Oryctolagus cuniculus: one gene and its partner. The protein of the gene in region 2 binds, or shares a complex with, the protein of the main gene of each other region. Links are inferred from orthologs where the notes say so. Each region holds a gene or a part of one and is shown on either strand. Other genes may lie near its edges. The genes, in order: DRC12 and GAS8.

Region 1 (4,322 bases), on a different chromosome or scaffold from region 2:
AGCTGGATTGGAAGCGGAGCAGCCAGGACTTGAACCAGCGTCCATATGGGATGCCGGCACTGCAGGCAGGCAGCGGCTTTACCGACTACACCACAACACTGGCCCCCTGACAGTCCCTATTCCTCAGACTCATTTTTCCCAACCACTGTGACTCTAGCGAGATGCTAGGAAGTACCTCAAAAAGGGACTCAGTCCCACACTGCCCAGAGATAATCCAAAATAAAAAACCTTGTGCAGATACTGTGGCGTAGAAGGTTAAGCCACTGCCTGCATGGCGGGCATCCCATATCAGAGTGCTGGTTTGAGTCCCAGCTGCTCCACTTCTAATCCAGATTCCTGCTACTGCGCCTGGGAAGCAGCAGCTGATGGCCCAAGCATTTGGGCCCCTGTCACCCATGTGGGAGACCTGGATGGAGTCTTGGGCTCCTGGCTTCGGCCTGGCTCAGACATGGCTGTGGTTGGCATTTAGGGAGAAAACCAGATGGACGATCTCTGTCTCTCTCTGTATCTGTCGTTCTGCCTTTCAAATAAATGAAATAAATCTATATAAAAAAAAAATTTAGCAGACTTGGGAATACAAGCGAGTCCACTAGAGGGAGCCCCAACCAACTCTATGGTACAGGGAGCCCCTCAAGGTAGTTTCTGAAAATCAACCACCTAAAGGCAATAGATTCAGTGGGTGCAATAAGACAGTCATGTAAATACCCAGTCAAGACCCAGGACCTTCAGAATTTACCAACTCCGTGATGTAAAAGGCAGGAAGCAGGCTAAACCAAGTTAAATAGCTTCCACCTCCAGAGAGGGGGCCTGTGCTGCAGTTTTGGTCCCTAACCAGTGTCCATCCCGCCAAGCCAATACCCCAGAGTCTACGGGTCCTCACTCCTCTGTGTCTCATTTTTCTGGAAGTCTGCCCCAGCACCTGCTCCTGCACCCTGCAGAATGCCTTGCCGAAGGGACGCTTCCGGTTTCAGCACAAGGTCATCTTGCAATAGGATCTCAGGATGTGGATCGTCCAAGACGGCTGCCATCACGCTTTTCCTCCACATCCGCACAACAGTGTTGTCTCAGCCGTGCAAATCTGTCATTTCTGAGTCTCCAAATGACAGCACCTACGTGGAAGTGAATCACAGCTAGTTTGCTCCAAAGCCCTTTCTTTTCAAACTATGCTTAGGATTTGTGGATGAAAGGAGAACTACCTTTCCCAGACCTTGGTCTTTTAGGCATTGTGAGTTGATCTGGCCTATTGCACCTTCTCATGAACTCCATGTTGCTCAGTTGCCTGGGCAACATGCAACCTCCAGAAACCCAACCTTCCAGTTCTCAGTCCAGCCCCCTGAGGAAAATGTGCTGCCTTGGATTGGCTCCCAGGACGCAGGCTCCTCCTCAGGCTCCTAGCTTATTGGGCCTTCTCTCTGTCTCTCCCCACGAGTGGCTCACTCTACAGGGAGACCCAACACAGGCAAGAGAGGGTCTGACAAGTGGTGGAGGTGAGGTAAGGATGAAGGCAAGAGGGAGGGGACAGCTATGGGAATGTATCTTCGCCAAGAGAGCTGAGAGTAACAGCTTTCTGTATGCAGTGTCTTCCCCACTGACCCCAGCCCCGCCTGAGGCTCCAAGGAGACCGGCAACTGAAGCTTCTGGAAAGTAAAGGTTTGTGGGAAATGTAATTAAAAGACAAGCTTATTTTGGTGCAAAAAATTCTTCCAAGTATATTTGAGGGATGTTCAAAAAGCTCATAGAACATGTGTATTGTGAAAAAAAACTGTGGGCCGGTGCCGCGGCTCACTAGGCTAATCCTCCGCCTGCGGCGCCGGCACACCGGGTTCTAGTCCTGGTCGGGGCGCCGGATTCTGTCCCGGTTGCCCCTCTTCCAGGCCAGCTCTCTGCTGTGGCCAGGGAGTGCAGTGGAGGATGGCCCAAGTGCTTGGGCCCTGCACCCCATGGGAGACCAGGATAAGTACCTGGCTCCTGGCTTCGGATCAGCGCGCAGGCTGCAACAACCATTGGGGGGTGAACCAACGGCAAAGGAAGACCTTTCTCTCTGTCTCTCTCTCTCACTGCCCACTCTGCCTGTCAAAAAAAGAAAAAAAAAAAAAGAAAAGAAAAAAGAAAAAAAAAGAAAGAAACTGTGAATGGATTTAACTGTATTTTCTATTAACTTTTTTGTTCTTTTGTTGTTGTTGTTGTTCTCATTTCTCCCTTAATTGTAACTATGTTGAGAGTCAGAGAGAGACCGACAGAAAGACAGACAGAGGCCCCATCTGCTGGTTCACTCCCCCAATTCCCCTAATGGCTGGGACTGGACCTGGCCAAAGCTGGGAGCTGGGAACTCAGTCCAGTTCTCCCAAGGGGGTGGCAAGAATCCACCTGCTTGAATCACCCTGCTACCTCCCCGAGTCTCTGCAGCAGGAAGCAGAAGTCAGGCGCTGCAGCCAGGAGTGCAGCAGGCACTCTGATATGGACTGTGGACGTCTTGACCACTAGACCGAATGCCCAGTCTGTATCCCACGAACTTTCTAAAGTACCATTCGAGTGCCAGTTCAAGTCCTGGCTGCTCCACTTCTGATCCAGTTCCCTGTTAATGTGCCTGGAAGGCGGCAGAGAATGGGCAAGTCCTGGGGCCCCGGCACCCACGTGGGAGATCAGGGGTCCAGACTCCTTACTTCTGCCTGGCCCAACCCTGGCCACTGGGGCCATTTAGGGACTAAATCAGCAGATGGAAGATCTCTCCTTCCACCCCCTGCCCCAACTCTGGCTTTCAACTAAATAAATATTTTTTTGAAATAAATAAATCTTTAAAAAAGAAAGACTTGTGTCTTTAAAACAAGAGAAAGGGGCAGACTTGGAAAGCAGACTTCTGACCCTCCCAAGACTCCTGGTTCAGGATCCCCTTGTCCAGATTTGAAAGCAAGGTCCCCTCCCTCCATCAGGACAGCAAGGAAATGCCACCCAAGACCAAACAGAAAGGCAGGAAAGCCGGCGTGCAGAAGAAGAAAAAGAACCCAGGGCCGGGTGAGTCGTCGTGGGTGGGGGTGGGTGCCCGTTTCTCTGGGTTCTGAAACAGAGACCAAGCAGAGGCCCGCAGCACAGTCCTCGCTGTCCAGATTCCACGGAGCTGAGGAATGGGGGAATGGTCACCCACGCCCTCCCTCGAGACCGCCCAGCTCTGTGCCTCCCCACTGGTCACCCATATGTTGAATGCCTCATCTGTGCTGGGCAGGGAGCACACGGTGCATGCTGAATGGACTCTGCCCGCAGGGAGCCCTCAGAGCTGGCTCAGGACGGAGTCCAGGGCCGGGGGCGGGGGTCATGTAAGCTAAGGCTCTGTCATTTGCCAGGACAGATGTGGAGGCCGAGTCCAAGCACAGACAGCTGGTGCTGGAGACGGAGCTGCTCCGAGACCGGCTGGGTAAGAAGGGTGAGCTATCTGGGACCACAGAAGCAGAGCAGTGGGGGCGCTGCTGTGTCCTGGCGGGACTGGACGTTTGGAGCCACGGTGGAAGCTACGCCAAACCCTAACCATCCCCTAGTGGAACAGGACAGGGAAGGCTGATGAGGGACGCTATTATTTACAGCCAGAACATGGAGGGAGGTTTTACTCCTTAGCAATGAAAAGCTCATGAGATCCTAGGAAAATAAAATGACCCAACAACCTGGAGAGACAGAAAGGGGCGGGCATTGTGGTGACATGGGTTCAGTCACCACCTGCGACACCAGCATCCCACTGGCTGCTCCACTGCCAGTCCAACTCCTGCTAATGTTTCTGGGAAAGCAGCCGGTAATGGTGCAAGTACTGGGGCCCAGCCCCAGCCATAGCAGCCATTTGGGGAGTGAATCAGTGGATGGACAATCTTTCTCTCTCTGTCTCTGTCTCTCTCTCTCTGCCACAGTGCCTTTCAAATAAATAAAATAAATACTTAAAAAGAAAAAAAAAAACAGAAAGAGAAAGAGAAAGAATAAGAGGTGGGGTGCCCTGCCCCCAGGTGTCTTTTATTTTTAAGATTTATTTATTTATTTGAAAGTCAGAGTTACATAGAGAGAGAAGGAGAGAGAGAGAGAGAGAGAGAGAGAGAGAGAGAGGTCTTCCATCCACTGGTTCACTCCCCCAGTTGGCTACAATGGCTGGAGCTGCACTGATCCGAAGCCAGGAGCCAGGAGCTCCTTCCAGGCCTCCCAGGCAGGTGCAGGGGCCCAAGGCATTGGGCCATCTTCCACTGCTTTCCCAGGACATAGCAGAGAGCTGGATCAGAAGTGGAGCAGCCAGGACCTGACTGGTGCCCATATGGGATGCCAGCACTGCAGGCAGTGGCTTTACTCACTAT
Region 2 (3,802 bases):
CAACTTCTTTAAAAAATATGGATTTTTAAAAAACACTTATTTATTTGAAAGGCAGTTAGAGAAAGAAAGTGGGGGGCAGAGCCAGAGAGATCGTCCATCTACTGGTTCACTTCTCAAATGGCCGCAAAGCCAGGAGCCAGGAGCTTCCTCTGGGTCTCCCACAGGGTGCAGGGGCCCTAGGTAGGAGCACTTGGGCCACATTCTACTGCTTTTCCAGGCACATCACATCAGCAGGGAGCTGGATCAGAAGTGGAGCAGCTGGGACTCAAACTGGAGCCCATAAGGGGTGCCAGCACTGCAGGCAGAGGCTTAATCCAGTATGCCACAGCACGGGCGCCTAACTTTTAACACTTCAGCAGAGTTGGCCCAGGTACACTTGGCCATTCCATCGGCAGCACAGAGGCCATCTTCCTGAGGAAGACGGGCAGGTCCCTCCACCTGCTGCCAAAAGCAGGACCTCACTCCCACACTTGCCTGTGCTCCTGGAGACCAGCCCTGCCCGGAGGACAGGGGTCCAATCCTGAGCAGAGGGGAAACAAGTGTCCAATGCCAGGGCCGTGCTGCTGCCTCCCCTCCTGTGTGGTTGCACCATCCCAGGCCTGACAGCCTATTCTAGCCTATTCCAAGCAATCCAAGGTCCTGCAAACAGAGCTGCCCTCTGGGCCTGCACCTGCTGCTCCCCTGTGCTTGGCCACAAGCAGGGGCCTTCCCTACCCCTACACCTCTCTGCTCGCATGCATGCTGCACTGGCCATCTGCTCCCCTCCGGCTCTCTGAGCCAGTCTACATGTCCACAACTCGGGGCTCCCATCACTTCAAGTCACAGGTGCAGCTGAGGGCCCTGTTACGATGTCTCCCTTCAAACAGACAAGGAGGCCCGACACAAAGTCAGTGCTGGGCATTCACATTCTACTGAACAGTGTGTGGATGAAATCACCTGAAAAATGCTACCTGTAATACTTCTCAGGATAAAACACCTCCACAGGAGCCGGTGCTGTGGCACAGCGGGTTAAGATGCCACCTGTCAGGGCTGGCGCTGTGGCATAGTGGCTAAAGCCGCCACCTGCAGTGCCAGCATCCCACATGGGCACCGGTTCGAGTCCTGGATGCTCCACTTCTAATCCAGCTCTTTGCTATGGCCTGAGAAAGCAGCAGAAGATGGCCCAAGTCCTTGGGATCCTGCACCGACGTGGGAAACCTGGAAGAAGTTCCTGTCTCCTGGCTTCGGATCGGCACATCTCTAGCCATTACAGCCATTTGGGGAGTGAACCACCGAACGGAAGACCTCTCTCTCTCTCTCTCTGCCTCTCTGCAACTCTTTCAAATAAATAAATAATCTTAAAAAAAAAAAAAAAAAGATGCCACCTGCAGTGCTGGCATCCCAAACAGGTACTGGTTTGTGTCCTGGCTGTTCCACTTCCAATCCAGCTCCCTGCTAATGCACCTGGGAAAGCAGAGGAAGATGGCCCAAGTCCTTGGGCCCTTGCACCCATGTGGGAGACCTGGAGGAAGCTCCTGGCTCCTGGCTTCAGCCTGGCCTAGCCCTGGCCATTACAGCCATTTGGGGAGTGAATCAGCAGATGGAGGATCTCTCTCTCTCTCTCTCTCTCTCTTGCCTCTGTAACTCTGCCTTTGAAATAAATAAATCTTTAGGGGAAAACAAAACAAAACAAAACCCCTCCATCAACTATGAGGACACTTCAAATCTGTAACCAGGCCATCTGTGTCTCTGACGACCTCAGCACAAGGAGGAGGGACAGAGAGGAGTCCACTGGCCCCACAAGGGTCCATCTCAGGGACAAGGGACTCCCCTCGATGGGCAGGCTGCAGGCTTTGAGATCAGCTGTGCCCAATTTGGGAGCAGCAGCTGAGCCAGAGGCTGAGGACCTGTGTCTGTCTCCAAGGGCCCCTGCGGGAGCTGCACCTGCTGCTACTGGGGATGGACGCAGGCCTAGCTGTGGAAGCTGGACAACCAGCAGAAGCTGAGCTACGAGGCTGTCTGAGGCTTCAGATTCTTCTATCCCCGAGCTGTCTGCTGGGGGCCAAGGCTGCCCCCACCATGCCAGGGCCAGGAGAGCAACACCGCAGGCAACAATGGACACAAATGAGTGAATGTTCTGGGTCTGCTGAGACCTCACTACCCCTGCTCCACCAACCTAAGGCTCTCCCCACCCACCCTCTCCTGGGGGCCCCCGGGGCTGTGATTTTCCTAGGTGGAGAGCCCAGGGACGCAGCTGCTCCCCAGGCCTGTGTCTGGGTCTGTCGCTGAAGAGCTCAGGCCCGCAGAGAACCCGTCCTCATGCTGTGCTCAGGTAACAAGAACCTGACGTGAGCCAGTCTGGGTGGCTGCAGTGGGAGGGGCTGAGTCTCAGGCACCATGAAGGAAGGAGGGGCTGGGGGAGACTGACAGCCTGCAGCCCCACTGACGTGTCCACAAGCTGGCAACGACAGCCTGAGAGGCCACCACCAGCAGCTCCCCTGCGGTCACCTGAGAGGTCTCTGCCCGCCCACACAGGCACGGGGCAGCAGTGAGCAGTCCCACCGCTTGGCCAGCCTGGCCCGCACCGCCTCAGAAGCCTGCCCAAGGCCTACCTCAAGTTTGCGGGACACAAGCGTCAGGGTGGCAGGGTCCAGGTTGGAGGCGGCCAGCACCTCGTTGAACTGCACCTCCCTCTTCTCCACAGCGGCATTCAGGGCCTGCAGCTTGCGTTCCAGCAGCAGGTTCTTGAAGCCCGTCTTCTGCTGCACCTCCTGGATGGCGGCCGTGAACTTCTGGTAGAGCTCATCGCGCTCCTGTTGTACCTGCAGAGACGGGACTGGGGTAAGCATCGAGGACGCTTACCTGCAGACATGTCCCTGGCGAGAGGTCATTTCCCACCCCTGCCCCTGCTGGGCACATGCTGCCCCCCAGGAAGGTCTCAGGCAGCAAAGGGGCATCCTGGTGGGAGCTGGAGCAGCCCCAGCTAAAAGCCAATCCACAAGTGGTCAACAGCCTGAGCTACTGCTTCTGACCTCAAGTGACACCTGTCCCTGACCACCTGTGTGTGAAATCCAAGGCATCTAACTGCCAGCAGGAAGCATTTATGAGGTGGGGGGCCCCTTGAGCGGTCCTGGAATCCCACTGCTGCCGACGCACCCCACAATGGCCAGTCTGGAAGCCAGCACACTGCCCAGTGGTAGAACTACTCTCCTCTTCTCCTAACTCTGCTACTGACTGTGTTGTACAGGAATGAAGACATCACACAAGTGTCAAAAGCAGTGCCAGTGCTGTGGCGCAGCGGATTAAGCTGCCACCTGCAAAGCCAGAATTCCTTAGGGGTGCTGGTTCGAGTCCTGGCTGCTCCTCTTCCATCCAGCTTCCTGCTAATGTGTCTGGGAAAGCAGCAGAAGATGGCCCAAGTGCTTGGGCCCCTGGCAAAAGCTCCTGGCTCCAGTCTGGCACAGCTCCGGTCACTGCAGCCATTTGGGCAGTGAACCAAGGATGGAAGATATCTCTCTTTCTCTCTCTCTGTAATTCTGACTTTCAAATACATAAACAAACCTTTAAAAAAAAATGCAAGTGTTGGTTACAACACAATCCCAGTTTCTACAGTAAAGCACACAGGAAGAAGACCATGTCTAGAAAGAGGCTCACGACACTGCCTCCCCCTTGAGGGCCACTACTGGGCAGCAGGTCGGCTCCTTTCCACCTGCACGATGGACAGTGCCACGTTGTGCAGTTAGGCTAGTGCTCAGGAACGTGACACAGGGCGATGAAAAGGGCTGCCGTGAGGGGCCAAGCTACCCAACCTGTGTGAGAGGCC

Evidence for each region.
Region 1: GAS8 (region 2) and DRC12 share a complex: the UniProt entries of both Homo sapiens proteins name them as parts of the nexin-dynein regulatory complex. The link is inferred for Oryctolagus cuniculus from reciprocal best matches to the Homo sapiens genes DRC4 and DRC12.

The regions. Positions count from the first base shown.
Region 1 is NC_091432.1:111,112,587-111,116,908, forward strand, and holds the start of DRC12 (dynein regulatory complex protein 12), read left to right. Parts: upstream 1-1,430; 5' UTR 1,431-1,492; intron 1,493-1,577; 5' UTR 1,578-1,650; intron 1,651-2,930; 5' UTR 2,931-2,942; coding exon 2,943-3,012; intron 3,013-3,343; coding exon 3,344-3,409; intron 3,410-4,322. UniProt on the Homo sapiens protein: Component of the nexin-dynein regulatory complex (N-DRC), a key regulator of ciliary/flagellar motility which maintains the alignment and integrity of the distal axoneme and regulates microtubule sliding in motile axonemes.
Region 2 is NC_091449.1:69,576,726-69,580,527, reverse strand, and holds part of GAS8 (dynein regulatory complex subunit 4), read right to left. Parts: intron 2,802-3,802; coding exon 2,592-2,801; intron 1-2,591. UniProt on the Homo sapiens protein: Component of the nexin-dynein regulatory complex (N-DRC), a key regulator of ciliary/flagellar motility which maintains the alignment and integrity of the distal axoneme and regulates microtubule sliding in motile axonemes.